Diceros bicornis minor: one gene and its partners. The protein of the gene in region 4 interacts with the protein of the main gene of each other region in a biochemical or structural test. Links are inferred from orthologs where the notes say so. Each region holds a gene or a part of one and is shown on either strand. Other genes may lie near its edges.

Evidence for each region.
Region 1: the proteins of PDGFRA (region 4) and PDGFA form a complex in vitro, tested with the Homo sapiens proteins (2 studies listed by BioGRID). The link is inferred for Diceros bicornis minor from reciprocal best matches to the Homo sapiens genes PDGFRA and PDGFA.
Region 2: the proteins of PDGFRA (region 4) and PDGFC form a complex in vitro, tested with the Homo sapiens proteins (2 studies listed by BioGRID and IntAct, with this or other methods). The link is inferred for Diceros bicornis minor from reciprocal best matches to the Homo sapiens genes PDGFRA and PDGFC.
Region 3: the proteins of PDGFRA (region 4) and PDGFB form a complex in vitro, tested with the Homo sapiens proteins (3 studies listed by BioGRID). The link is inferred for Diceros bicornis minor from reciprocal best matches to the Homo sapiens genes PDGFRA and PDGFB.

Annotation. Positions count from the first base shown.
Region 1 is NC_080765.1:13,954,993-13,961,968, reverse strand, and holds the start of PDGFA (platelet-derived growth factor subunit A), read right to left. Parts: upstream 3,016-6,976; 5' UTR 2,983-3,015; coding exon 2,731-2,982; intron 2,227-2,730; coding exon 2,130-2,226; intron 1-2,129.
Region 2 is NC_080750.1:44,820,516-44,828,018, forward strand, and holds the start of PDGFC (platelet-derived growth factor C), read right to left. Parts: upstream 3,016-7,503; 5' UTR 2,148-3,015; coding exon 2,030-2,147; intron 1-2,029. UniProt on the Homo sapiens protein: Growth factor that plays an essential role in the regulation of embryonic development, cell proliferation, cell migration, survival and chemotaxis. Potent mitogen and chemoattractant for cells of mesenchymal origin.
Region 3 is NC_080764.1:10,876,811-10,883,770, reverse strand, and holds the start of PDGFB (platelet-derived growth factor subunit B), read right to left. Parts: upstream 3,021-6,960; 5' UTR 3,005-3,020; coding exon 2,942-3,004; intron 1-2,941. UniProt on the Homo sapiens protein: Growth factor that plays an essential role in the regulation of embryonic development, cell proliferation, cell migration, survival and chemotaxis. Potent mitogen for cells of mesenchymal origin.
Region 4 is NC_080747.1:42,185,838-42,193,004, forward strand, and holds the start of PDGFRA (platelet-derived growth factor receptor alpha), read left to right. Parts: upstream 1-4,147; 5' UTR 4,148-4,329; intron 4,330-7,029; exon of another isoform or gene 7,030-7,167. UniProt on the Homo sapiens protein: Tyrosine-protein kinase that acts as a cell-surface receptor for PDGFA, PDGFB and PDGFC and plays an essential role in the regulation of embryonic development, cell proliferation, survival and chemotaxis.

The DNA of each region.
Region 1 (6,976 bases), on a different chromosome or scaffold from region 4:
GGGTTCCCGGCTCTAGCCCCCTCCACACGGATTCCAGATGGGCTTCTGGCTGGACCCAGTGTGGAGTCCAGGGCCTGGAGGGCCGAGAACTGACCCCCCAGCTGTTTATAGCCTCCCCCAGCATCAACTTTTCACTTCAGGAACGACAGGAGTCGAGACAAGGCCCCTATTACAAGCTATAGAAGCAACTGGGGCGGCTCCGGTGCTCAGGTGAGAGACCGTGGGCTCCTGGTTCTCAGCATCCATGTCTGTGAAAGGGGGCTGGATCAGGAGCAAGGAGACCCACCTTGGGGTTTGTGTCACAAAGGGTCGCCCTAGGGGCAGGGCTAGTGAGCAAGGAAGATTCCTGAGGCCCCTCCTCTGTTCTCACCCCAAAGTTTCCCAGGCAGTGGGAGTCTCGCCCCAAGAATCATATTCAGTCTCTAAAACGTCTGACAGGTGGACAGGGGGCAGGTGACCCACTCTGTACTCTCTGGGACAGGAGAGAGACGAGCCCCCCTGGTCTTCTGTAAGGGAGAATCTGAAGCTATCCGGCGAACTGGCTGGGGCATCCTTGCTCCAGTTTGGACTCTCCCAAAGAGGCTCGGGGCCCAGAAGCCCCCAGGTCAGGAATGCAGTCCACACAACCCCACAGCTGCCAGGCTGAAAGTGTTAATGGGTGGGGGCTGGGGGAGGCGGGGCGGCAGAGACCAGAATAAGAATGGGACCGGCAGAAGGTGAATGGCCCATTTCCCGGTGGCATCCCAAAACCATCCCGCAAGGAGGCCGGGCCCATCACAGGGCTCGCTTGGGCAAACCAAAAAAAAAAACCCTGGAACCTTCTGGGGGAGACAGTCTCCCCACTTTCCCAAATCCATCAGGGACCAGCAAAATGCAGGCGAGTATTTGCCTCAGCAAACCCGAGTTAAAACCTTCTCCCCAGGGCTACACAGCAAGAAGCCAGATCAGAATCCCCCCCGGCCCAACTCTGATCTCCAAGTGAAATTCTACCCCCTTCTTGATAAGGATCAGCCCAAGGATTTCCTGGGTCAAGAAACTACAGAAACCGGCGGCCTTGCTAGAAAATGGTTTTGGCATGAAATGAAAATAGTCAGACCTCTCTCTCCACCACCATAATTAGGTACAAATTTCCAAATGACTAGACCATGTGATTTTACTGAATTTCCCCTCTGCCCCCCTACTTCGCAGTAGTTTGCAGTGAGAGAAAAATCTTCATTTCACTTAAAATTCTTCCAACCAACCCCAGCTGCCTCTACTTGCTGGGTTTGACAAGTTCATCTGGGGCCTCTCTCACCATCAACAGTAAGTTTTCCATGTGAGTATTTTCCTAGTTAAATCTCACACCCGAGTTCCCACCCACCAAGATGCGGGCCAGAATCCCTCTCTTCTGAAGGGGCTCCCTCTGACCCACCCTCCAGCGCAGCCAACCTGGGTCCCAACCACTTCTGCCCACCCCGGGGCCAGTCCAACTCCGCAACGACGCTCAAGAGCTTCCAAACTCCGCTTTACAAATAAACCGTTTTCTAAAGTGGCTCGGCTCCAGGGCCCGAGGGCGAGCCCCAAAATAGTCCCCAAACAGCAGATGTGTCCAAGGCGCGCCTTTTTATTGGCTCGTGAAAAGGGAAAGGCACGGGCCTCCTGCAACCACAAAGGCCCAGCCCCGCGGCAGGAGCCGGACGAGTCCGCAGCGACGACAGAGGGGCCCGACCCGGGGGCACTGGCTCCCCCCGCGCGCCTGCCCGCCGCGCGCCCGGGCCAGGGCTCTGCGCCCGGGGCCTGGGCTGGTCCCGCGCTCCTCCGGCCGAGGGCAGGCGCGGGCCGCACACCTGGCCGGGACGCCGGCGCCCTCTGCGGCTGAACTTTCTGTGACACACGAGGCATTTTCCTTAAATGCAAAAACAATCTCTGGGCGAGCGAGCAGCCCTCGGCCGCCGCCGGAGGAGAAAGCGGTGATTGGAAGAGAAACGCCTGACTCATCCGCCTGGGCTTTTATGGCCCGGGATTGGATTCTGACCTTTCGGTGCGCTTCTGCGCGGCGCCCGGCCTGGCCCGAATGCAGGAGGCAGCCGGGGCGCACTCACCGCCCGCCCGAGCCCTCCCCGCGCGCCAAGGGAAGGGGCGCGATTTACCTACGGAGTCTATCTCCAGGAGTCGCTGGAGGTCCCGGATGCTGTGGATCTGACTGCGCGCCAACCTCTCAATCACCTCGCGGGGGATCTCGGCTTCCTGCAAGCAGAGCCACACGGTCAGCGCCCCCAGAGCGCGCCTGGCCCCTGGGCCTAGGTGGCCCTCGACTCCGCCCCGGCCCGACCCACGCGGGCCCCTAGCGCGCAGACCGCCCGCCCCCCGCCAGGGCCCTGGAGGTGGAGGCTGGGGGTGGGGCTGGGTGAGACCCCAAATCCCCAGTCCCCATCCCTGTCTGCTCTTCGCAAAACGAAAGTCCTCCCCACTCCTATATTTCCAAGCCTGAGCCCCGCGCCCCCTGGGGTGTCGATTACGGGAGGTCTGGGGGCGGCGAGGGGCCCGGAGTTTCCGATTTAATAGTGAAATCGACATCGAGAAAGATCAAGTTGAAATGCGTCACGGATCGGCGACCAAAGTCACAGCGGCCCCAACACTTTAATCCAGCCAGGGGCTTAAATTTCACACCCCGGAATCCCGGGCCGAGCCTGCAGGGAAGAGGGTCTCTCCGGCTCACGCGCGCGCGCACACACTCACACCCACACTCACACACTCGCCCCACCCCAGGCTCCGGCCCAGCCGCGGCCCTAGCGCCGACCGAGACGCCCCAAATGCAGCCGGCGCTGGAGAGGCTGCTGGGGACGCGAGAGTTAAACATCCACCTCCCGCCGCTCCCCCGCCGTGCCCAGACCACCCCCAACGCCGGGCTCCCCCCGCTCCTTTCTGGTTTTTAAAGGGAGTCGGGGGTCGCCGGGGGGTCTCGAGCACCAAGTTCCCAGGACGGAAGCTGCAGAAAGTCATTCATCACCGCGGGGCTCCCGGGGATTCGGGATTTTGGATTGGGGGGTGGGGACGCCGGCGGTGGGAGGGCGCGGGCGCCTGGCCCGGCCCCGGCTCGCCTCGCGCAGCCACCTGTAAGCAGGCCCGGAGCGGGCGGGACTGCGCGGGCCTGGGCGCCCCCCCGGGCCTGGGGACCGGGAACCGGGGGCTGTGGCCCCGCACTGCTCACCTCGCCTACGGGGGCTCCCGCCGCAGCTACCCTTACCTGCCTCTCGGCCGCTCTCCTCCCCTCCCCGGGCTCTGCCGGCTCTCACACACCCCCTTCCGCGCTCCCCGCACCCCGATACTGCATTGCACGCCGCGCCCCGGGTTCCCTCCCCAGAGAGGAGCCCGCGCCCCCCGAAGTTTCTCCCCACTCGTCCACCCCGCCGCTACTCCGTCCCTTCACGGCAAAGCGACGCAACACGCTGGAAACTCACCAGACACACTTAGGCATGGCAGAAAATAAAACCCAGTTGGGAAAATTTAAAAAACGACCACCCTGGCAGAAATCAAAACGCACTCTGCAGAGCCCGGGGCGCCCCGGCCAGTGGGCGGCCGCAGGGGGCGTGCGCCGCGGGAGTCGGAGAGGGGACGGGGCGCGGGGGGTGCCACCCACCTCGGCCAGGGCATGGGCGAGGTATCCGCAGCCGAGAAGCAGCAGGCAAGCCCAGGTCCTCATCGCGTCCCGAGGCGCTGGCGGCTCGGCGGGGAGGCGAGGCCGCGGGGCGGGCGCTCCAGCCGGGCTCCTGTGGCGGCGAAATTCAGTACCATCCCTCAGGGAGCGCGGCCCGGAGGAGGGTGGCGCGGCGAGCAGGGAGCCGGCGGAGCGCGCCCGGCGCGAGCAGCGAGTGCGGAGAGGCAGGCAGCGCCAGCGAGAAGGAGGAGCAGGGAGTGCGCGCTCGCCGCGCCCGCCGCGCCGGGAGCCTCCTGGGCCGCCGGGTAGGGGGTGGGGACGGAAGGGGCGGAGGGCGGGGGCTGGGCCTCTTCCTTGGTGCGTTCCCGGTGCTGGCCGCCGCCGCGCTCGCTCCCCGGCGCTGTCTTTAGGAGCGACCCGGCCGGTAATTCTGCATATTTGCGGCCATCAGCCCCGAGAGGGACCCCGGAGCGAGGCTGGAGCCGCCGCCGCCGCACCACCCATCACCTGTCTGGACGCCCGGCCGGGCCCCGGCCGCGGGCTCGCGCTCTCCCCGCGGGCTGCGGGCTGCGGACGGTCCCCGGGCCCACCGCCGGCCCCGCGCTCGCCTCCGGCCTCCTCTCGCCGCCGCGCCCGGCCGAGCACGGCGCGGCCCAGCACGGCGCGGCCCGGCGGCCTGCGTGCGCCCCTCCGCGGCGCGCCCTCGGCTCCGGCGCCGCGCTCCGCCCTCCGCCGGCCCGAGCCGGGCAGCGCCCGCGGCCGCGCGGGGCCTGGCCGCGCGGGCCTGAGGGCAGGCGCAGGGCCGCGCCGGAGCCGCTGCCACCGCCGGGAGACGAGGAGGAGAAGGAGGCGCGGGCAGGCCCGGCTCGCTGGAGTTGTGCGGGCTCCGCAGGGCGCGCGTGTGGAGCCGGCCGGCGGCGGGGAGGGGGTTATAGCGCCGCCGCCACCGCGCCCCTCCCCCCGCCCCCTCCCCCTCGCCTCCCCCGGATTCCGGGCCCCGGACCCGCACCTCGGAAGCGCGCGGGGGCCGCAGGGGCCGGGCAGGGCCCGGCCGCCTCCGCCGCCGCCGCCGCAGTGAGCACACACACGCGCTCACGCGGGCAGTGAAATCCATCAAAGCGGCACCCGGCTCCGAGCACGGTCGCCGGGGCTCCGCGCGCCCCTCCCTCGAGCTTGCCCACCCCCCGTGCCAGCTGCAGTCCTGCGGCACCGGACGGGGAGGGGAGGAGGCCGCCGCAGAAGCTCCACCGTTGCCGGCTCGCCTCTCTCGGGCCTCAGCGGCGGCAGAGGGCAGCGCCCAGAGCTGCTACGCCAAAAAGGGCAAAAGCGGCCGGCCCCCGCCCCCCGCCCCGGCTTTCGGGCCTCTTTCCACGATTCGCATCCAGGGCCCCTGCCTCCCCTTCTCCGTAAAAGGAGGGGAGTGAGTCTCCGGTGGGAGGTGGGGCGGGTCTAGGGGCGCGTCTGGGGCACTCACCTGGCGGCCGCCACGCGCCCCCGCCCAGAATCCGGTGCCCGGGGCGTCTGGATGAGGCCTCCACCCACATTCCGAGAGAGGAGAGCGCCCAGGTCGGAGGAGGGGGCTGCAGCGTGCCTCGTCCCCACCCTAGGGCCCCGAGTCCCCAAGTCCCCAGTCCCTCGTGGAAGACCGGGCCGCGGCCTAAGCCGGGAGAACTCGCGAGGGTGGAAGGGAAGGAACAGAAAGGAGCCGCTCGTGAGGAACCCCGTGTCTGAGCCTCCCTCTCCGGGATCCGCTGGGCGCACAGAGCGCCACCTCCGGCCGAGGCGCGGCACAGAGGCGGTGCGGGGGAGCGACGCTCGGGAGGCCGAGGCCTGAGCTGGGCCGGACCGCTCCCCCGCCACGTAAGGGCAGGTGCACCTGGGCTGGACAGATCTTGCCTGCCTGGACCAGGTGGGATCGGACCCCAGCGGCGGGTCGCTCGAGTACCAGGCCTAGACTGGCCATGCGACCCCAAAGCTAGACGGCCGAGGTCCCTGGAGGCCAAGAGACGCCCGGGTGGGTGGGTGGGTGCCGAGAATTCCGCCCGGCCGGGCCCTCCGCCCCCAGCGGCCCCATCCTGTAGATTAGACTCGCGCCCCCGCCGGCTGCCCTCCCACCACACACAGGCAGTAAAGGAGCAGCCCGCGGGCGGTCTTTCATCCCGGGCCCAGCCGGCTCTGGCATTTCAAGGGCGCTTCGGGGGTGCTCACCTTCCCGCAAATACCTGGGGAGGCGGGGAGGGGGCCTCTCCTGCGGTTCCTAGAGGGCCCGGGTCTACAGTGCCCTTCCACGTGCCTCACACACCTGCAGCCCCCACGGCCCTGCCTCCCCCAGGCCGCAGCCCCACCATGCGACCTCCGCTGTCAGCGGGCTCCCCCGGCGGTCAGAATGAACGACCGAAGCATAACCAGGGAAAACTTGGAAACGTCTAGAAGCACGTGAGAGCCAGTCTTGTCTGTCCAGGTGGAACCTCCTATTGCTCCGGAGAGGGAGACCGCTGGAAGGAGGCCAAACGCGCACCGCCGGGACCCGGGCTGGACACGGGTCCGAGCCACCCCTAGTCATCCGGAGAGCTGACTGCCGTCACAGCCCGTTGAGCCTCGGATTCCTCGGGGGCAGAGGAGACCCGAGGACACTTCTTTGGGGTTAAAAGACTCGGTTTGATAGTGGGTATGGGAATGAAGGAGGACAAGTCGGTTGTGTTTAGGAACAGCACACACAGCCCTCCCACTTCCAACCTCTGCACAGAGGGTCTCCGGTTCCTGGGGGTCCGAAACACCTCTGAGCAGGCCTGGGTGGGTGCTTCCCTCTGCGCCCCTCCCAGCCTGGCATTTCAGAAGCGCCCAGTTCGAGCTTGGGGCCAGGAAGGGAGATGTGCGGACGCGGAAGGGGGGCGTCCTCGAAGGGAGTCTGAGGCCAGAGCGAGGGCGGGGAGCAGGGCGAGGCCTGGAGAGCTGCGGGGGGCGGCGCGGGCCTCCTAATCGCCGGCCGCTATTAAAAATAAAACCGCGGCACGTCGTCATAGCGACCACGACAACAGCGGCCGCACGAGGGTGGCAGGAACCTCTGCAGCCGCGCGACAGCCGCCTTTGGGGGAGACTCAGGGCACGACGCGCGTGCGAGCACCGAGGCCCGCCCTGGGTGCGACAGGGACGTCCCTGACCCCACACGCCCCACCTTCCCCTGGATCCTCGGAAGAAACTGGTCCCTAGGAACTCTGTTTCCAGGACCTGGAAATGGAGACTGGAGGACCGACTTGACCAAGAGGTCACCAATTTGGGTAAGAACCCACGCCCCGTGGCCTCCCTCCTGGCTGGGCTCCTCTCCTCCACACCCCGCGC
Region 2 (7,503 bases), on a different chromosome or scaffold from region 4:
TCCCAAGAGCTAAACATAGCCCAATACTCTGCCCACAGATTAGGAAACAACCAGGCTATTTTTAACACCATGCATCTTAGGAATGGCAATGGCCCAGCCTCTGATGGCAACAGAATGTGTGTGGTCAGGCTTAATGAACTCACCTCTTCAGAGGGTGTGGACCTACTCAGTAAAGTGGCCAACGACCGTATGAGACCTCTGGGACCCATTACAAAGGGATGATGGTATGTGGATCACAAGAAAGAACAATAAGGAAAGGACAATGAGAGGCACAAGTAGCAAAGGGAATCAGGAAGATGACAGATGCCAGGACAGACTTGATAAGACAGAGCAGTAGGGAAATGATATGGGACAGGAACAATAAAAAACAGAACACAGAAGCCAGGAATATTACGCATTGTCATGCTGGAGAAGCTTGTCTAGTAAGAAGCAATATTTTGAACTGGACATTTATTTTACATGAGAAAGAACAAAGGTTGGTCTGATCTGTTTCCTGCCTGGGTACCGCTAGTGCTGTGGCTCCTTTGATTGCTTCTCCCAGTCCTCTGCAGCTCCTGTGATTACAGAATAGATCCCTAGGCTGCCCTTTGATCAGCAGCTCAAGCAGCCTGCAGGTGCCATGTGCGGTCACATTAGCAAGTTGTAGGAAGCAACCACATTATTATTGGCTGATAAATGTGATACTGTGTATTGCTGCACATACAACAAATATAAACAATCTCTACAAAAGTCCCAGGAATCCTTATTTTGTCTACTTTTGTACTCTAGAACTTTCTGTACTTTCTTAAAGGTGAACACTTCAGAGAGTTTAAATTCAAAGTTGAAGCTTTGAAACACCCCAACACATAAAGAAAAAGTTGCTGTGACTTAAAAATATAGTACACACCATTTTGATTTTCTAGGTATGCTGTTTGTGTTCATTTCGCCTGGTTAATGAAGTGACAGCATTCTTGCATTCTGAATAGATGACATGCAAAGCAGTAAAAACATGTACATTTCCTTTCAAAGAACATTTAGAGCCACCACTTGTAAACAGGGTGTTTAATATTCTAATTTTAGACAGTCTACATTAACATTGTGGTTTCATGTGCAGTATAAAATTTCTATTTACAAAGTATTCTCAAAAATGACTTCATAATGGTAGATCAAGAGAAAAAGAGTTTAGAAATTGAATGATGTAAATCATATGGGGTTCAGAGGCTAAGCAAATTACACACCCTGAAGCTGCCCTGGCTTTATGAAAGAAGCCTTTCTCCAGCTCTGTGCAATCCCAACCCAAGGGAACTTGCATCTGAGAGTTTTCTAAACATTTCAGGTACACTTGAAAGCTGAAAGTAATTCTCATTTCCTATGCAGGATTAAGTCGTTTCCAGCACACACAAAATAGCAGTCATTCACCAACACATAGAAAAACACACTACCAGAAAGGTAAGGACTTCAGAGTACAAAGGCACATTTTTAAAAAAAATAGAGCTCAAGAGAAGTACACTTTTTTAATTCCCCCTAAAAACGTCCACACGGCCTCCTGACCTCTGTATTTCCTATCTACTTACTGATTAATTGATGCCTTTCCACTTAGAGTGCTGCAATTAATGTGGCTGATACATTTCCTGAAACACCCACCTCCCCAATGGGAAAAAAAAAAAAAACCTGAGTGAAGTCAAACATGCCAGGACTCATTCATTTTGGATTCGTTTTTAGAAGCAGCTCTTGAACTTATAACTCTGGCAACGAGAGGTCCTGCAATGTGAGTTTGAACTGACGTTCACAATCGCTCCCAGGGTGTCCTCTCTCTAGCTGAGGCTGCAGTGGCACTCACGTTGCCCTGTTAGAGCTCTGTAGCAGCTCCCGAAGTTGCAAACTGCACGTAACCCCCAAAAGTCCACGCCAATGAACGCAGCGCGTATTTGCATGGATAGAGAGACGATTATACCCTCGCAGGCTGGTGTACATCACACACCAACGCACAATGCCAACGTAACGCACACAGCGAGAAAACAGAAGGGGGAGTTGGGGGGGAAAGACTCACCGTTCTGTTCCTTGTTGCTGGAGAACTGGAATTTACTACTCAGGTTGGACTCAGCCTGAGTCCCGTGTCTCTGGCCGGCCAGGGCAGATGTCAGCAGGAGAAGCCCGAAGAGGAGCATTTGGCTGACTGGGGCGAGAACTCACTCACGGCGGGCACTTTGGAAGCAGCGACTCCCGAGTCTCTTTCACCACCGCCAGGGGAAGGCTGCACTGGGGTGGAAGCGCCGAGCCTGCTCTGGCAGCAGAGAATCGTAGGGTAGTTTCCACATAATCCCATCCAAAACTTTTTCCTAGAGCCCTCTTCTGTGTCTCCAGTTTTTGAAAAGGATCAAAGCAAAACCTGGACCTGAACCAGTTTCCCAAGGTTTAAACAAATCCTGAGCTGTGCCGAAGTGGTGGGGGTGGGGGTGAAGGCGAGGGAGGAAAGAGGGGGTGGGGACGCGGGGGAGCCGGGGGAGCGGCGAGAAGTCACCAGCAAGTTGCTGGGAGCACCTGTCAGTTGGGGGGACAGGACAGAGGCGAAAACTCAAGGGTCGCGCGAAGCCAGCCTCGAAGCCAAGTTGGCGGCAAGCAGTGTCTGATCAATAACAAAGCTGCCAATAGATGCGGCTCTCCGGGCGCCCCTCTCCCCCGCCCCACCCCCACCCCCGAAGGGGGAGGGGGAAGAAACAAGGCGAGGGCGCCGCGGCGGGTCCCCGGGGCCTCGGAGCCGGAGCGGGGCCGGGGGGCTCCGGGCCGAGGTGTCCCGGGCGCGGGCGGAGGGAGGCCGCGGGGCTCCTGCTCCCCAGCCCGGCGCGCAGCCTGCGCCCGGTCCCCACCGCCGCAGCACGGATTCCGGCACCTGGCTGGAGTTTTCCGCGACCAAAGTTCACCTTGTTCGGGTGCGTCCCTCGCTCCTCGGAGCCAAGGGAATTTCGGCAGCTCGGGGTCACCGCGGGGCTCCGGTCCTTCCCCGTCCCCGACTGCCACGCCTCGGGCTCCGCGCAAACCTCGGAGCTCCCGGCGCGGCGTCTCGGCACCGGGTGGAGAGAGAAGGCCGGGCGACCCAAGGCTCCGGCTTGTCCCCTCCCCTTCGCTACCTTCCCCCAGCCCGGCGGCAGTCGAGAGGAGGGGGCCGTGGGCCGAGCCCGGGCGGAGCGCGGCCGGCGAGCGGGGGAGGCTGAGCCGCTCTCCCGCGGGCGGCCGCAGGGGCGGGCGGGGGTCGGCGCCTCGGGGAGGGGCAGCCCCGGGCCGCGTCGCTCCCGCCGGCTAGGGCCGCCAACTGGCAGTCCAGCAGGTGCTGGCACAGACAGGGGGTGCTGCGGGGCTCGCTACAGGCGGGACCCCAACGACCCCGGCGAGGAATGCAGCCAGGGCGGCCCCTGGTTTCCTCCACAGGACACCCCTCGCCCCAAATAAAGAGCAGAATGGGTGGCAAAGGATGCTGCAAAAAGCAGACTGAAGTGGGGAAGAACTTCCTGCAACTCTGCCTCTTCCCCCGCCCCCCGTGGCCGTGACTCGTTATTAATTTCCGAGGGGATCCCCATTCCCAAAGGGCTTGTCCGGGACCCTTGGCCAGAGTTTCTGAAGCGAAGGAAGAAGGGAAGTTGGAATTCAAGGATTTCTCTCCATTCTCTCCATTTTCCAGCTCTCTGAAGCGTGATGGATAAAGCAAAAGTCAAGACAAACGGCCAAAATAACAACAACATTCATTCGTTTAACAAGTACGGTCTTTATTGAATGCCTACTGTGTCAGGCACTGTTGTAGGAGCTGGGGCTGTGGTGGTGAAAACAGAGGAAAGTCTCTGTCCTCTGAGGCTTGCATACTAGTTGGGCTACATTAAATTAATATCAAGCAAGTGCCATGGCAAGCAAATCAGAAATATTACCCAACGTCTTGTGAAACAAGTCAATGCAAACAATTCGACCACGTGTGGTGCTCCCTACGGGATTGGAAGGGAGGCTACACCCTTAAGGCGTCTGCCGAAATAGGGGTGGAGTCTCAAATGCCTCTTTTTAAGGAGCTGCCTTTCCTGGCCTTGCAAGGCTGTCTACTGAGTATCGAGGAGCGCTGCCCTGAAAAAGGATCCAGGAGTGCTTAGGCAGGGACACAACACCTACCGGACCAACCCGGCAGCTGACCCTTCCTCAGTCATGCTGAAAATACCACGCCCTCTTCCTATGTTTGGGCACCGACTGAAACCAACCAACCTGAGCTGTGTTTGTAGTAACTAGTCCTCTTCTTTTTTCCTCTCTTAAAGTTCTACTAAGCTCAGCTCCTCTTTGAAACCTCTACTCACCTATTCCATTCATTCTTTCTTCTTCTTTACCACTTCTGTCTTCAGAGTACAGGATATCAAGACAAATAAGGCCCAGTCTTTGACTTGAAAGAATTTAGAGTTTAGCCTTGTTATTTTATTCCCTTTAATAGCTCCTCAATACCAATGTGAATCTATATTTGCACAAAAAATATGTTCCAAAAACGTTGTGTAGCTTTTTGAGGGAGAAGGGGAGTGTTCCCAATTTTAATAGCATAATGAGACTTGTTATGTAAAAGACATGCGTTATGAATGCATTTTAATCTATGCGTAATAAAAGTAATTACTCCCCAGTTTTTCTCATTTTGTAAGTTTAATATTCTAATCAGGATTTTTCTAAGTGAGGCTGTCATATGTTTGCATAGTTGAGTTTTTTGGCCACCCACATAGAGAGTGTGTGTGTGTGTGTGTGTGTGTGTGTGTGTGTGTGAGTATGTGTTTGCAGATGTAATCCATTTGCTCTCTGGAGATTATAAGCGTGATGACTACTCTTTATTTTGTATCATTTCATATTGGCTAGAACAGTGCCTGGCCCAGGGGGATAATGAATAAACACTCTTGACTGACTGACAGGTTTCTTTATTGGAGTCACTTACATTCTCCTGGGAATTTCAGCATGAAGGTTGTATTTGAAAAGTTACAGATGATGTAGAATAATACTCTACCTCTGTGTTTCACCTCATCCATATTCTACAGATTGATTTGACAATTGCCTTATAAATAAAGCCAGCCAGGTGCTCCTGCATGACCTCTAGACAAAATCATGTCCACATTGCCCAGTTTCCTTTCAACGTACTTGCATTGTTGTTTCTTGAACTGCTCCTGCCGTTGGTATAGTTGATTCTTTTAACACTTTATCGTCTGCCTGTCTTCCTGCTCCATTTTACTTATAAACCTTTCCTAGGAAAGCGCAATCTTTGCATTAAAAGTAAATTTCATGTAATCCAGAGTCTGCACAGTTACTAAACAATATATTTTGAATGAATATTGCTTTGTTTTGGCCTGAAGCATTTTCCTTGAGGAAAGGCATCTGTTCCGACAACCAAGAGAAAATAATTGCAAACATTCTTTGTGGTTTTCGTGTTTTTTTAAACCTTAGGAAGGAGTGCCCACTCTGGCTGAATGCATGAAGAGCGTTACCTATAAATTCTTCTTGAAGCGTATGGTAGAATGTACTCAGTTATTAACAATGATAATTTCAGGGAGGGAGGGTGGGTGTCACTACTAAATTTTCTTTTATGTGATATAAAATTTTAAAGCAAATTACACCTTTAGCTAGTTACTTAACTGTGGAAAGCAGGAACTACAGGGACATATTTTTGCCTCAGAATATCAAATATTATAAATTTTCCTGCTCTCTTCTTCTGTTTCAATGTATGTTTCAGGCATACACACACACATAAAGGTATACCAGCAAAATTATTTTAAGACTTTTCCCAGAACTTTTCAGTTTTTTAGTGGCAGAAAGTTGAGCATGAGTTTGAGAAGTTCAGAAAGCTCTATTCTACCTAAATGTCTATTATGTTTCCAGAACGGCTAATAAACAACACTTACACATACATATATATGAGGCGAGGGGCTGGGGTATCATTAGTAAGCAAAGTAAATGGCCACAGATCACCACAAGAATAAAAACTGTTCTGCGGGTAAAAAAGAAAAAAATAAAGTAGTGTCTCTTAGAGTTATCCTTTTCTCTCTTCACTTTCTCCAATTATCTTATCTTGAGAAACATACGACTGTACTATTTCTAAGTATCTAGGATATAGTAATACTCTGTTTTTCCAACCTAGAAATAGTAAAATATGTTTTTTCTTATTTTTTATTCTTCTACATCAGTCTGCCTTTACTTCCCAGTGTTAACAACTACTAATCTGAGAAAGGCTTGCTTCCTGTGGCAGATGTAGAGGGTTGTGCTAAGGCCCTGCTCTCAAAGGAACAGATGTACTTTTTAATTTTAACTTTTTTGGGAAAGGAAGTTGGGAAGTGGGAAGTTAGAGGTGTGTGACCGTGAGAAATGGGTGGCAAAGACTGGCCTTTGGTGGCCTCTTTGGCTTTTCCCATTGAAGTAAAGCTGCTGTTCCCTTTTTGAAATCATGGTTGAGTATGCATAGATTTTTTCCAAAATCTTGGAAGTGTTTGTCTGACTCAGAACTCAGAGAGAGTAAGTAGCCAGAAACAGTCCCAAAGAAAGAGAAGCCATGGTAACCTTTGAACCACCACAACAAAAGATCATTTCACTGGGAGATGGGAGACCAGGGACTTAGTCTGGCTTTACCACTAACAAACAGTGCAACCTTGATCTAGAAATCCTCTCTGCCCTTTTTCTTTACATGAGACATTTCCACTGGATTCTGTCTCAATCCTCTTACTGCTTTAGAATTCTTTGGGTCTCTGAGCTATTCTAGGTGGTGATGGCAATACTTTTTCAACTTAATTGTACTTCTGTGACAATACTTGACTAGAATAATGGTTTCCTGGCCTTGACTCAAAGGTCTCTTGGTGGCTGGCAAGAGAAGATGAACAGGTACTTCTCCCTAAACTTCTCCAATCAAAGTAGTCTTCTTTTACCTGTTATTATTATGGTTTGGAAAAACAAATTCTATTGGTAACCAAAAAGAAGGGGAAAAAAAGTTTGGAAATCACTGACTAGGGCAAGTATCAGGAATTTTATTGAATTCAAGGAAATTAAATAAATTATGTGTGGGTATCCAGATTTTAATTTTTACTATTTGTTTGGTATCATGATAACAATATCAAGAGAGGCAAAATGTGGTCCCAAGGTAAAGAAAAATAGCTATAGTGCATAAGTGAGTTGTTAATAATAAGGAAATAATATTGTTTTTAGCCAAGAACAGATAACCAATCTCCTACTGTTCTATAGAGTCACACTGGTGGAATGTAAAGCAATCCTGGGAGCAAAGGGCACCCCTTAAGAATGTGGACAGCAGCCGAACACTATGGTTGGTCATATCCTCCAGTCAATAAGATGTCATTTTTCTCTCTCTTGAAATCACGTATAGGATATGAGGGCTGTTGTCCGCATGGTGACAAATCATCGTAGAGAGGTCAAGACACAGCTACAGATCCTCCTTTTTGAGATAGTGACCCTCTTATTTCAAAGGTCATGGGAGAAGGAGCCTTTCACTTTGTGATCATTGTTTCAAATGCAGTCCTTTCC
Region 3 (6,960 bases), on a different chromosome or scaffold from region 4:
GACTTTGAGAGGGACTTATGAGGCCCACGGCAAACATCTCTTTACCACGCCTGCTGAATCAATCTCTCTCGCTTTCACACACACACACACACACACACACACACACACACGCTGCTCCTGGGTCTTGCAGCAAAGCCTCCAAATTCTGATTGATCCTAACTTGCACACACTTCCAGGACTGGGAGAGTCCAGCAGGTGGGTCTCCCACCGCCTAAGGCCATCAGCAAACCACAAGGAACCATCTGGGTGGTGAAGGCCTGCAGGGCTCCTTCACTCCTTCCCCAGCAGAAGGGCGCTGAGGCCGGAGGCGTCACATGACAGCGGGAGTCACCCTCCAGGAAGCCAGCTCAGCTGATGGAGATGGGACCTCATAGGCCTCAGAGCTCCCACCCCTCCTTCCCAGCTGCTGAAGCCTCCACCTGAGGCTCAGTCCAAGCAGGCCCGGGACACTGTCAGCCCGAAGCCCACCTCCACCAGCAAGCCCTCCCAGAGTCTCCCTTCCTGGACTGGCCCCCATGTCGGCAGGTCTTCCCTTTAGGTCTCCTCCCTCAGCCACCTGAGGCTTACTCAGGCCTAGCAGGAAAGTGCTTCGTAAACTGCAAAGCACCACACAATCGTGGGTCCTGAGGGCCATGCGTTCAAGGACGCTGTGATTAAAGGGAGGAGAAGGCACCAGCTTCTGTGCCACAGCCTCCTCCCTAGACGCACATACCCATGAGACTTGTGGAAGAGGAGGAGAAGGTGCTGGCTGAAGCTGGAAATGGTGAGGGCAGGCCTGGGACAGCCTCATCCAGCTGTCACTCGGTCTCCCTTGAGCATGCCGGGATCAGCAAAGAAGCCAGAACAGTCGGGGGTGGGAGCCCCTCAGCGGCTCGGGGTCCTCCAGTCTTGGAGGTTCAAAGAAGGGCTCATTTGAAGACAGAAATGCTCTGGACATCACAGCGCCCCCCAGGGCACATCACCACCACTTTCGGCCACACGGGGGTGGCTGGAAAAAGCAATCACAGAGGGTAATGCTGGAGGGGCGTGGAGCTGACCTGACCAGGCAAAAAAAAGGGGGTTCCGTCGAGCCGGGACCTGATGGGAGGGCCCCGGTTCCCCTTCCCTCATGAGACCCAGGAAGGAAATGGGGTCACTACAGAGGTGAAGAGGTTCCAGGACCCACCTGTTGCGCGGGGGCGGGCACCTGGCGCTGGGTGTAGAGGGACCGTGCGTGCCCGTATGCGTGCGTGGGTGTGCGCGCACGTGTGCTCAGGCCGCGTGTGCGGGGGCCATGCGTGCACGTGTGTGCGGTGCGCGCGCGTGTGCCCCGCATGTGCACGGGCGTGGCGGCGGAGAGCGCGCGACCCGGCCGCGGTAGTGCGTGCCCGTCGCTTTGCGCGCTCGCCCGCCCGCCCGCCCGCCCGCCGGAGCGCAGCATCGCCTCCGGCCAAGAGTGTGCATGCGTGGGGTGAGTGAGCCAGTCGGGGGGCCGAGCGGGGTGGGCTGCGGAGAGCAGCGGCGGGGGCGCCGCCGTTCCCAGGACGCCCTGGCACCGGGCCCAGCCCCCAGGCCCCGCGGCGAGGCGAGGCGGCAGCTGGGGCCGGCCGGCGCCCCCCTCCCCAACAGCTGGCCGCGGCCCGGGGGGCTGCAGGAGAGGAGAGGAGGGGGCGTCGGGAGGGGCCTGCAGGCGGCCCGGCCGAGCCCTGCGTCCTCCCTCCCGGGTGCGGGCCGCAGGGGGTGGCCGCGGAAGGGCGGGGCCCCAGGGCGGGCGGCCGGCGGCCCTCGAGGAGCCGGGAGAACAAAAGGAGACGGCGACGGCTCTTCCGTGGTCAAAACAACCTGCGCTGGCGGCGGCCCAAGGCCGGGCCGCGGCCTCGGAGCCCTTCACCTTAACCCCTTCGCCGCCGCCGCCTCCCTGCGCCTCGTTGGAGGCCGAGAGGGGCCGGCCCTCCCCGGGAGCGGGCGAGGTGCGGGATCCCGGCCGCGGCCGAGTAGAGGCGGGACGGGACCCTGGCACGCCGCGCTACCCGCTGCCCTCGCCTCGCCTCCACCTCGCGCCTCCTCCCTGCCCCGCCCCCTTTCCCACCTGGATTCCGGGTAGACTTGCCAACTCACTGCTACGTGAGCCTGGGAGGGTGGGGGCACTGATCCGACCTGAGAGCTCCGCAGACGTTTTTAGACCCCACCTCCCTTGCAGCTAGGCTTTTACAGGCGGCGCGCTCCGCACCCTGCAAGCCGGGGAGAGGTGCTTCCTCTCGCAGGGCGCGGGCGCAGGTATGGCGGGGCCTCAGGCACACAGCGCCCCAGGGGCTGGATTTCCTAAGAACCCCCACTCCTCTCCTAATCCCGAGTGCCCAAGACCTCTCTCTCGTCCCCCGCTCCCCGCACCCAAGACACATGCTGCTCCTGGACTGCGCTCTCCGGCTGGGCATGCCCTGTGCGGGCCAGAGGGCGACCACCCCGACCTGGAGCGGGAGCCAGGGTGGGACGCAAACCTCCGCTGAAGGTTGGCGTGGCTGTCACCGGTGCGCGAGGTCGCACCTCCCGGACAAGCCGGGTCCTGGACAGAATCTAAGCTAGAACCGAAGTGGGCTCGGGAGGACGCGCTGCCTTCTGCACCCGCGGCACCACCCCACCCCCTCTCCCTTCGGCCGGGAGGGGGCTTATTCTCGGGTTCCTGAGGGGTGGGAGACAGGACCACACACACCCTCCCCCGACACTTAGAAGCTCGGAAATGTGGGATCGCCCATGGGAAAGAAAGCCACCGCTGCCTCCTCCCCTTAGAGCCTGGCACCTCCCGGACCTCACGTCCCAGCCCTCGGAGGTCACCTAGTGCCCGGCGCCAGGCCCAAAGGCTGCAAGGGTCCAAAGTTCACTGCAGGGAGAGGCGAGGGCGGTCAGGGGTGGGGGTGGGGGTAATGAATGAAGCGAACTAGCCCCAGCCGCCGTCGCAACTCACCTCGGCGCTGACCAGACGCAGGTAGCAGCAGAGAGACAGGAAGAGCGCCCAGCAGCGATTCATGCCGACTCCGGGCCCGGCCCCGCAGGGCCCCGGACGCGTGGACCGAGCGCGCCGCCCCCGCGGCCAGGGTGGGGGGCGGGGGCTGGGGAGGGAGGTGGGCTCCGCTCGGGTCTGCGGCGATCAGGCGCTCTGGCCGCTGCAGCCGCCGCCGCGGCTCAGCCGCATGGCCCCCGGGCGCCGCCGCCCCCGGCCCCGTCTCCGTCGTTGGGGGGCTGGGGAGGGCCTGGGCGCGGGACGAGGGTCTGAGGCCGCTACCTGGGCGGATCCTGAACCCGAGCGAGCATCCACGGCCGGGGGGCTGCGTCGCGAACCAGCCGAGGCGTCTAGCCGTGTGGGGGCGCCCAGGGGACTCCAACCTCCAGGAGGAAAAAGAACACGGCAGTCGATGGTTCGTCTTCACTCGCCGGCTAAAGGCGTTTTCCTCTGCCCGCCGGCTTAGCTTTTTTGCAACATTTTCTGGAAAGGCCCCCGAAGTCGGAAAGCGCAGAACTGGGCACCTCAAAGCCAAAGTCTCCCCAAAAAAACTTTTTTCAAAGTTGGCTTTGCAGCTGCGGCCCGAGTACCCGGCCAGAGAGAGGTGCAAACTCCCGCCCGGGCCGGGTGGGGGGGCCGGAGCGTGTGCGCCCTGGCGCGGGGCCCGGGCGGCGGGCACGGCTGCTCCGCGCGCGCGGCGTGCCGGCTGCGCGCTGGCCCGGGCGCGGCAGACAGGTGGAGGCGGCGCGAGTCCGTCGGTCTGTCTGCCTGCCCGCTCGCCGCTCTGGGCGTCCTCTGCGGGCTGCGAGCTGCGGCTGCTCCGGCTTTCTCTTTGCAACGAGGCTGGAGGGTGGGCTTTTTTTTCCTTTTTGCGCGTGTGTGTATGTGTGTGTGCGCAAAATATCTATCTCGGGAATGAAAGATGGGCGCTGGCGGCCGGACGGGAGCCCTCAGGGAAGCAGCGGGGGAGGCTGCGGGAGCGCAGGGAGGCAGACGGGCTGCTCCCGGCGGCAGGAGGAGAAGTTGCCACCCTTTCAGCTGTTCTGGCCTTTATAGAGGAGAGAGGTGGGTGGAGACAGCCTTTCCTCTTCTGGCCGAGAGTCAGCACCAGGAGGGAGGGGAGGGGGGGCGGGAGCTCGGGGAGGGCCTGAGACAAGGATGGGGCGCTTAAGGGTCTCTGAGAGCCTGGCAGCCCCTCTGTCCATGAATCTAGCTCTTGGGAAGAGAGAACTAGGGGCGACCAACAGCCGCGCCCCTCGGCACAGTGACCTGGTCTGCTTTCTAGCCAACGTGGTGGGGGTATGTCTCCAGGGCCGGCCAGGAGGCCAAGCCCACACCTCCAGGACCAGACATTTGCACCTGGCACGGAAGGATGGTGAAGGACTCAGGCCCTGCAGCTTGGTTCAGATCCTGCCCTGGCGCTGAGTTGCTGGGTGACCTTGGTCAAGTCACTTCCTTTCTGTGCTCCTCCATCCAGCCTCCAAGTAGGATGGGGTTAGTGTAAGGACTGAATGCCAGAAAAGGCAGAAAGCAGCCAGCCACAAGCCAGCCGCAAGGGGATCACACAAACCCGGCAGCCGGGACCGTTCAGCTGAAAGCCGGGCCCATGTCTCCTGCTCCTAGCTGGTTGCCTGGCACACCACAAGCCCTGCCAGCGTTGGCTGAATTTGAATTTGTTGAACTGCAAAGTCACACAAGCCCCCACCGCCCTGCAGCATCCTTGCAGGGAGCCATCATGATCCTCCAGTCACTCTGATGTTTACTACCTCCCTCAGCCCCCCAGGTTTGAGGCCCAGGGCCCCCACCCACGCCAGCATTCACACAGTTAACGCCTTCCACCCCCAGCTCTGGGAGCTGCTGCGTCCCTGCCTTCAGCTGTCACACGGTCACAGTCACAGTCACACGCACGCCTGCCGAGCCCAGCACCCACCACGGGACCCGCAGGCTCACAGCATCACCTGGCTCTTGGCTTTAGGACACCTTTATCTGGTCCCCTTGCACTGGCTCTGTCATCTGCCCTTTGTACCCAAACATCCCTTTGGGGTGTCAGTCTGCTCCTCGCACAGCACACACCCTCGTCACCGAGACAGGCATGCCCACCGTCTCTTCGTAAACTGTCTCCTTGGACCTGAGTGAGGGCGGCGTGGAGGAGGGGGGCTTCCCAAGAGGGCCTCTCTACAGACAACCACAGGCGCCCACTCTGCCCATCACTGCCAGGCAGCATGGCACAGAGGCAGGCCGGGGCCAGCTCACCTCGGCCCAGATCCTGGAGTGGCCATTCATGGCCGAGTGTCTCTGGGAAGGTCAATCTCTCTGTACCTCGACTTCCTCCCCTGTAATCTGGAGATAAATCTATGATTGGAAGGAGGGAGGGATTTCAAAGAGGCATGGGGAAAGTTTAGGGGTACTGGAAATGTTTGTCGTTCTTGCTGGTGGTGATGGGTTCCCGGGTATACACATATATTAAAACTGATGTGTGCAGTCTATTGTACCTCGATACAGTCGTAGAAGAATTTTTACCTGCCGTGAGTGGTCTGGAGGCTCAGATGAGATAACCGTGTGGAAGCGCAGAGCGGGAAGGCAGGCCCCTGGAGGGCCTCTTTCCTTCAACACAGCTTTCCCGTGTTCCGGTGGCCAGGCGCCGTTCCAGGCGCTGAGGAGACAGCAAAATGCTAATACAGACTCTGACCTGGGGGAGCCCCATCCAGAAGGACAGACAGATGCGTAAACAGATAAATTAGGAGACAGGGTGACAGGGAGATGAGGGGGAGGGGATGGGAAGATAATCCCAAAACACAAGATCTGAAGTCTACAGACTTAGAGATAAAACCCTGCTCCATCGGACAGCTGGGTGGTCTTGACCGTGGCCTTCTGTGTCCCTATCTATAAATGGGATAACAGCCACCATGATTATTGAGGTGACTGTGTGGTAGGGAGTGTTCTTCTTACTCTGTGTGTAGCCTCTCGGTGCTCCTATGAGATATGTTACTCCTATCTGACAAATGGGGAAATTGAAGCACAGAGAGGTTCAGCAACTTGTTCAAGGTCACACAGCCAGGAAGTGGTAGAGTTAGGTCTTGAACCCAAGCAGTCCAGCTGCACAGCCCACACGCTTAAACCACCGTGCTGTGCTGTCTCCTGGCAGGTGTGATGATGACAACAGTGACGCTTTTCACACAGGGCTTTTGTGAGCATCAAACACATTAATATTTGTGAAAGTGCTTTGCCATCGGAAAGGAGCTGTACTGACGTGAGCCCTCACTTACACACAAAGTGCTGTGGGAGCACACAGCTCAGCCTCAGGGGAGGGATGCAGAGTGGGGAAGGCTACTGGGAGCAGTATCAATGAGCACCTACTGTATGCGGGCCCTGTGGGAAGCACTGGGAAATGGAATGAGGAAGGAGACCCAGCCCTGGCACTCCGGGACCTCCAGGCTCTCGAGTGAGATGGACACAAATCATTACAATCCAGATGTCTTGGTGCACTGGTTAGAAGTAGCAGGACAGGGACAGCAGAGGCAGCAGGGGCCACATGGCACCTGGCCTGAATGCCACGCTAAGGAGAACCCTTTTCCTGTCTCCTCTCCTTGCAGACCCCATGTCAACGTATGGGTCTTTCCACACCAGCAGTTCTCTAAAGAACACCTCCTCTTCCTCGTGTCGGGCTCGGCATAGTCGGCACCTCCTCCAGGAAGCCCCCCAGGCTTGGTGCTTGCTCTGGGTTCCCACAGCATGTACCCCGTGGTACTGTCATTGCCTGTTTATCAGTCTAGCACTAGACCGAGATCTGAACGAGCGAGGGCCTCACTGCAGCTCTCCATACAGTACTTGCTCCATGAATGTCGGCTGAAGGAATGAGTACGTGAGTAAATGTCTTGCCTGTTTCTCCCTCTGAGTCTTGGCTTGTTAGGGCAAAGATGCCAGACCCCGCCTGAGGAGTGGTGAGAGGAGGGGAGGGGGCCTGTGACATGAGCCTCTAAACT
Region 4 (7,167 bases):
ACCTAAACAGAGGCCGCCCTCCCTCCCCTCCCCAGTCACAGCTGTGTGTTGGAAAGCTGGATGGCTGAGGCCCCTAATACAGAGCAGACCTCCCAATCTCATCATTCCCTCCCCTTCCCCTCACATGGGTTTTCAAATTAAAAGTAAGCAAAAGCTAAGGCCTAAAAAGAAGGAGGGGAGTAGGAGGCACAAAACTATCCCCAGACTGAGGCAGCAGTGCTTTCTCCCCAGGAAAAGGGCATCAGAAAGTCCAGATCCTGAGGAGGTCCAGGCCCATTGCATCTTTCCCAACTCTGAGGAGTGTAGGCCCACCTGGGCTGGGCTGAGCCTGGCCGGGCAGCAAAACAGGGCTTACAATCTCTGGTCCTCTGTTGGGTCAGGAAGCAGTCTGTGATGTTAGGAACCCTTGGAGAGGGTGCAGCTGGTCACCAGCCAGAGGGGACTGCTTTCTGCTTCTCTCGGGAGACACATCTCTGGAGAGGAAGCCCCAAGGAACCCAGAGGAGACGCTGCGCCCTTAGATCCATCCAGCAACGGGGAAGAAGGGGAGGTGTGCCAGGAGTCCTGGAGAGAGGAGAACTGTCACCCCAAGTTACAGGCCGGTCCCGACCCTTTTGGAGAACTCTTCCTCCTCCTTTTCCAAGACTTGGGACTCTCTGCATTCTCAGAGTGCAAAGAGGCTCCAGCAAGCTTGGAAGCCTCAGCTGGGGCAGACCAGAGGCAAGGGCGGGGTCCTCGCCGGTCTCCCCGCGGGGCCCCCACGTTTGTGTGCCACATCCACAAGCCTCCTCTGAGCCTTTCCGACGCAGGTCCCTTTGCGGGGCCCAGGGAGGCGGCTCCTCCAGGGGCGGTCAAGAACTGACAGGGGTGGGGGAGGGGGGTAGTAGCGACGTTTTCTTTTGCAAACCACCAAAGGGCCCTTCAAATCAGAAGCTAGAAATGTGCCCCCACCCCATGAACTTCATTTGGAAAAAAAAAAATCGCAAGTTTGTTTACATGGGATTTTCACAACTAACGGCTTTGATTACTGCTACAGCCATAAGTCTTCTAAAGCAAAAGACCTTGTGAATTTCCCGAAGAAAGTAGAATTGGGGGTTGGTGCTGGAGAGCAGGGGAGGAGTAGAGAAGAAACAAAAAGCCAGCTCAGCGGCAAACGCCCACCGAAGCCGAAGGTGTGATGCCCGGAGCAGCAGCAGCGGTTATGGAGGAGTGGGGGCCCAAAGAGCCAGCCCGCGAGACGGCGCGGGGGCAGATTTTGTTTGTTTCAGACCATGTTTATCTGGTCGTAACAAGTTCGCGGGGCCCTCTTTTTGATGGCTGGCTCTACTACATCCCTTTATACCCTTGGACCCAATTTCATGTCGCCTGTGGGCCCAGACAGGAGAGGCCACGCCAGAACCGCCGCTGTCCCCAGACGGCCCGGCCCAGCTCAACTCCGGAGTTGGGCCTCCTTCCCAGGGGGTCGCAGCCGCTCAGACTCCCAGTTTGGGGAGAAAAGCCTCATTCTTAACCCCATGATGATGCCTCAAGGAAAAAACACAAGAGGTTGACAATCAAAATCCGGGTGCGGGCTGGGATTCTCGCACCGCCTCCCAGGCCGGTGAAGGTCACTCCCCGGGGCGCACAGGGCGGCCTGGTCCCCCGCGGTGCCCCGGGCAGAAGCCGAGGAAGAGGGGAAAAGACCAGGCGGCTTGCCTGCTGCGTCTCTGGGACCACCCAGGACCCCGGGTGTCGGGGGAGCAATCTGGCAGGATCTTAGAACAACATGGGGAGAGCGCAGCTCCGCTCGGCCCACCTCCCCCCAACGCCCAGGCTGACCGACGCGCGCAGACCCGACTCCCTGGAAGCCTCGGACCGGCGGCGGAGGGCGGACAGCACGATTCAAACCCGCCTATGAGCAGTGGGAGGTGCGGGTGGGAGGGGGCGGCGGGGCTGGACTCGTTTTCAGGAACGAACCGCCTCTTTTCCAGGGCCTCCAGCCCTCGAGGTTGCTCCTGAACACTGGGTTTATTTTGCTTTTGCAGGCGAGGCAGATGTTGACCTCTCTCCATCTCAGATGGAGTCTGGGCCCCCACTGCCCAGACTCGGAGAAATCTTCCCCAACCATTTGCTTCCCTGTGCCACCCCCCACCGGTGCGCTATCCCGGGAGTCAGCTCCCCAGGCCTTTAAACCTTCTGGAATGTCACACATGGAAACCTTTAGCAAATGTTTGTTAATGATCATAACAAAGGCATCATTCAAATTAGGCAGGTAATTACTACCAGAAGGACAACTGGGTGCTCACTTGCTCATCCATTCCCTCTGCTTTAAACTCGCGAGGAGTTACGGCCCGAAGACACCCCCGCCCAGCCCGCTTTTCGGGCCCCTTTAAGCGTCTCTGAAATGGACTGTGAAGGTACCATTTGTGGGCGGGGAGCGCGGGGCCCTGCGTTCGGGAGACCCCGGCGCGACCCGGCTGGCATTTTCCGGCAGCAAAGCAGGCCTTTCCTGGGTAGGCTCCCTGCCTCGCCTCCTACCCTCTTGGGTACTTGGTATAAAAACTTAGATGTCACTTGTCTTTATTAATAGCATGAAAGCTAGCACCCGCTTTTTCCTATTATTCCGCACTGTTTTTTTGGGGGGTCTTTAGTTCGCGTCCATTATCTACAAACATTACGGTATCCTGTTAGCATTCCGAACAAGGGGCTGTTCATATATCTGCCTTCAATGATTTCCTGAAGGAACATGTGGAAGTAATAGTGAGGAGTGCAGTCACCCGAACTGAAGATGCACGAGAGGCGGGCGCGCAGAAGGGCTGGGGGAACGGGGCCCCTGGCCCAGCCGCAGGCGTCTTCCCGAGGCTGACACCCAAGGAGCCCGTCCCAGTTAAGTACAGCATCCCTCGGAGTACTTCTCTGTGACCCTCCCCTGCCGGCCGTCCCGTGTCCACCCTCCCGATGAGGGAGAAGGTGATGGCTGTCCGACGTTCAAGTCTCAACCTGGCCGCCCTGGCCATTCTGAGACTGTGGGGGGTGGGGGTAGGGATAGAGGACGCCTCTCTCCACCCCACGAGAGAATTCAAAATTAGAGAAGGCGGGGAAGGAGAACGCGCTCCCCTCCCCCGCCCTCGCTCAGAAGCCCCACTCCGCCCAGGTCTGGTTCCTGGAGCATCAGCGCCCCCTTTCCTTCGCGGGCAGGATCGTTCTCTCCCGGCGCTGTCGAGCGCCTCGCGCCTTGGACATAGGGTTTGGAACTCCGCTCTCAACCCCAGGGCACTGGTAGGGTCTGACCCACGGGGCGGGGAGGGTCGACATGCACCCTCCCCCGAACGCGGAGGTGGCAGCCTTGCTGTAGACGATTCCCCAAACGCTCAAGCCTGAGCCTTTTTGTGTGCGTGATAGAAGCCAGGCAACGTCGCCCAGATAACCCCGAAAACAAAGACACGACAAGATAAGTGGCTCCAAGGGAGTAAAGGTCGTTATGTCGGAGAATGTTCCAAAGCTACGCAGATCCTCGATTCTTTGTACTCTCTTTCAAATCCCCCTTTTAAAACAAAACAAAACAAAACACCCCATCATCTTCATATTGGACTCAACAGTTTGCCTAATCCCATTAAAGGATTAGCAACTACACGGCACTTTCCCTAAAAGACCTCAGGTTCAAAACGACGCAACCGCTTGGAGACCTCTCCGGAAGGCCCTGTTTCTAGTTAGGCTAGGCATTTCTACAGAAGGGACACTTTTCAATTCCATATTTATATTGTTTCTCGGCATTAACTGCAATTTTATGGGTTCTTTTTCTTCCTTTCAAAGAGAATGCAAAGCAATATAGCAGCGTAGGAAAAGATCCTTCAAATCAGGAGGCAAACTCATTCTGGAAATGATGGGCAGCTTGTATTTTCACGAACCTCTTTCCCGGCAGAGCATCAACACCTCCCCTTTCCACCACCCCCACCCCATCTGGTCTGCTTCTTCCCGCCCCCCAGTTGTTGTCGAAGTCTGGGGCTTGGGGCTGGACCCCCTGATTGCGTAAGAGCAAAAGCGAAGGCGCAATCTGGAGGCTGGGAGATTCAGAGCGCACGGAGTTCGAGGGAAACTTTTATTTTGAAGAGGCCAAGGGAGGGGGGGCTTCATTTCCTGACAGCTATTTACTTAGAGCAAATGATTAGTTTTAGAAGGATGGACTATAACATTGAATCAATTACAAAAAGCGGTTTTTGAGCCCATTACAGTTGGAGCTAGAGGGAGAGAAACAGAGGAGGGGACGACTACAGGAGAGGACTGGAGGCCGTGGATACACTTTTTACTCCATATGTAGGATTTTCATTGCGAATTGACAGAGGAGGAGAAGGTAAGGGAGGAGAAAAAATGATTTTTGCTTCTAAGAGAAGTCCCCGATCAGGCCCTTTGGGCTGAAAGTGAAGTAACTTCACTCAAACTTTGGGCGATGAGGAAAAAAAAGTGGAGTTGAATTCCAGTAGTGTGTCTAGAGAGTAATTTATTTTGAATAAACTTCACTTGGAGGGAAGATAACCATAGAGTTCGAAAGTCTAGGGATTTAAAAAAACACATTTTCCAGACCTATTTTTAAAAGCAGTGTTTTTCTAACAACTCTACGGCCTCCCCAAGAAATTGTTTAGGCTTACATTTTTGAGGTTTCTTTTAGGGTTGGGGGTGGTATTTGTATACTGGGACGAGGACCAAGAAATGCTGGGAGTGGGGGCAGAGGTGTTTGCCCTCTTCTTGGCAGTGGATCCTGGAAGGCGACAGGTTTTTAATGAGTATTTTCATTCCTGGCCCGCGGTTTGGTGGGACAGCGCTGCAGCCGGTGGCGTGGAGCGCGGCTGGAGGACCGGGGGAGGGGGGAGAGAAGAGCGCCGAGTGGGGCGCGGAAAGGGTTGCGGGGAAAGGAGGCGTGAAGGGCTCGGCTGGAGAGGGCTGGACCTTGGTACCCGCCGGGTTCACATGGCGCCGGCCGAGCGCGCGGAATTACTGGACGGCGCTGCGCCGGGTGCGAGCTGGGGCCAGACTCAGCACAACCGTGGCGGCTGCAAGATAAGCCGAGGGGGCGCGGACTTGGGGAGCTCCCCAGTGGTTTGTGGGATCAGTGAAGTGTGAGGGAGAGCGGGCGCCAGCCCCGCAGTGCGCTCGGGTTGCGCGTCCTAGCGCGGGGGCGACGGCGGCGCGGGCGGGCGGGCGGGCAGGCAGGCAGGCGGTCTGGAGTAATGACAAACACATTTGGCCCCGAGTAAAGAAGTCATCGTCGCCTCGCATTCCAGCAACTGGGATTTGAGGAATTTCGAACTGCGCTCCAAGGGGCCCTCATTGTGCGCTGTGGTCCCCACCCCCACCCGTCTCTGAGCGCCCCCTTTCTCGGTGGAATCGTTTCTGCAAAACCCGGGGTTCTGCTGCTGCCCAGTGCTGGCCTCAGGGAGGAAGGAAGGAAGGTCGCCAGAAAAGTGCCGAACTTCTTGTGGGGAAGTTAGGGACGACTCGAAACGGAGAAACTTGGTTCCCAGGTAAGACAGAAAGGTGGGAGGCGAACCGCCCACACTACCTCCCTCCGGGCACCGGAGCCCTGGATCCCCCTCGCGTGCCCCTTTCCGCGCGGGGATGCGTGGCCCTCGCCCCCTGCACTCGCCCTGCCTGCTTCATCCTCTCCAGTGCCCCCTCTCTCCATTCCACTCCCTGCGCCGGCCTCCCTGCCCACTTCCGAGTTGTCTCCTCGAGCCCCTCCTTCCTCAGCCGTCTATCCCCATGGAAATCGGCGTTTACACGTGAGATTAACTTCTCCCGGCAGCGCCAGGGGATGGGGCGGTGTCCACTTGGCTCGGAAACTACTGGGATCAGCGGTTCTGTTCGGAAAGGGTCGCGGCCAGCTTAAAGCGAGAGGGAGTGTGGCCCGACACGAGTACCGCTGCCCGAGGGGGCCAGGAGCCCTGGCCGCCTGGCCAGGTGTGCGGGAGCTGCCAGTGGCCTGGCCTCGCGTCTCTGCCGGGAAGGAAGTGCTGGGCTGTCTGTCCGCTGTGGGTCTCTCCCGAAACCAGAGCGCCGGTCCCGCCCTTTGCTCCACCAGCCCTGCTAAGACCTCAGGATGTGCAGACAGTGTGCCTGGAAGAACTTGCCACTCATTCCATCTCGGAGGGTGAGAGGCAGACCTGGGCTGGAGAAGTAGCGTGGATGGCCCTTTTCGGATCCGGGCTGCCCCGCGCCGGCCGAGCTGCCTGGAAAAGCCCGGGGCTGGGCGGTGTGGGAAATGGCTTTTTGGCTTCGCAGCCGAATTGCTCAACGTTTTGGACCGACTCGCCTCACTTCGGTCGCTCCGACCAGAACTAGGCAGCCTCTCAGAGCAGAGAGAGCCATCCAGAGCAAATGGGGCACGACGATCAGCCGCACAGGTCACCAGACTAACACCCTAGAGCCCAGCGGGACCCCGGGGAGCTGGAGGGGAGGAACCGGCGCCCCAGGCGTGCGCACCCCATCCGCTGCCGCACTGGCTCTGGTTTTTACGTCCTTCACGCCCCTCCAACGCCCATATGACCCACCTGGACCCTACGGTCCCTTTCCCCTTTTCCTTCACCCTCGGCTTCCTTCTTTCCACGATCCTCACGATACAAGAGGCCCTTCCTCTGTCCCCCGACAGGCGAGGGCCTGACAAGCCTCGCTTTGACGCCCTGGTCAGTCCCTGCTTCGGGGCTCTTGCACAGTCTTGCTTTTGGTTTGACCCAAGTGTGGCTGGGCTCCAGGACTGGAGTCCTGAAAGCGAAGGGGGAGGCAGAAAGAGGAGGTGGGGGGAGGCACAGGGAGGGAACCCGTAGCTGCCCCTCGGCCCTTGCACAGCCTTTAGATAGACCACGAGGGACCTGAAGCAGAGCCCTGGCTCCCTGGGGCCACTTTCCTCCCGGGGCGCGGCCTGGGGCGGGGTGGAGGGGGAGGGGCATCGGGCCGGGCTTTCCAGCTGCAAACGCGTCTGGCGCCGAGGCGGGCGGGTTTTGTGCCTCCTGGGGACCGGCCGTGGGCGGCGCGCAGCGCCGAGACGCGTTCTGGGGACGTGGTGGCCAGCGCCTTCCTGCAGATCCCAGCGGGTGGGACTCCCTCTGGCCTCCGGGGAGCTGCGACGGGTTTACATGTTGCTGATGGAAAAGTGGCAATTCTGGGGGAAAAGCTAAAAGCCTGCTCGGTAACCGAA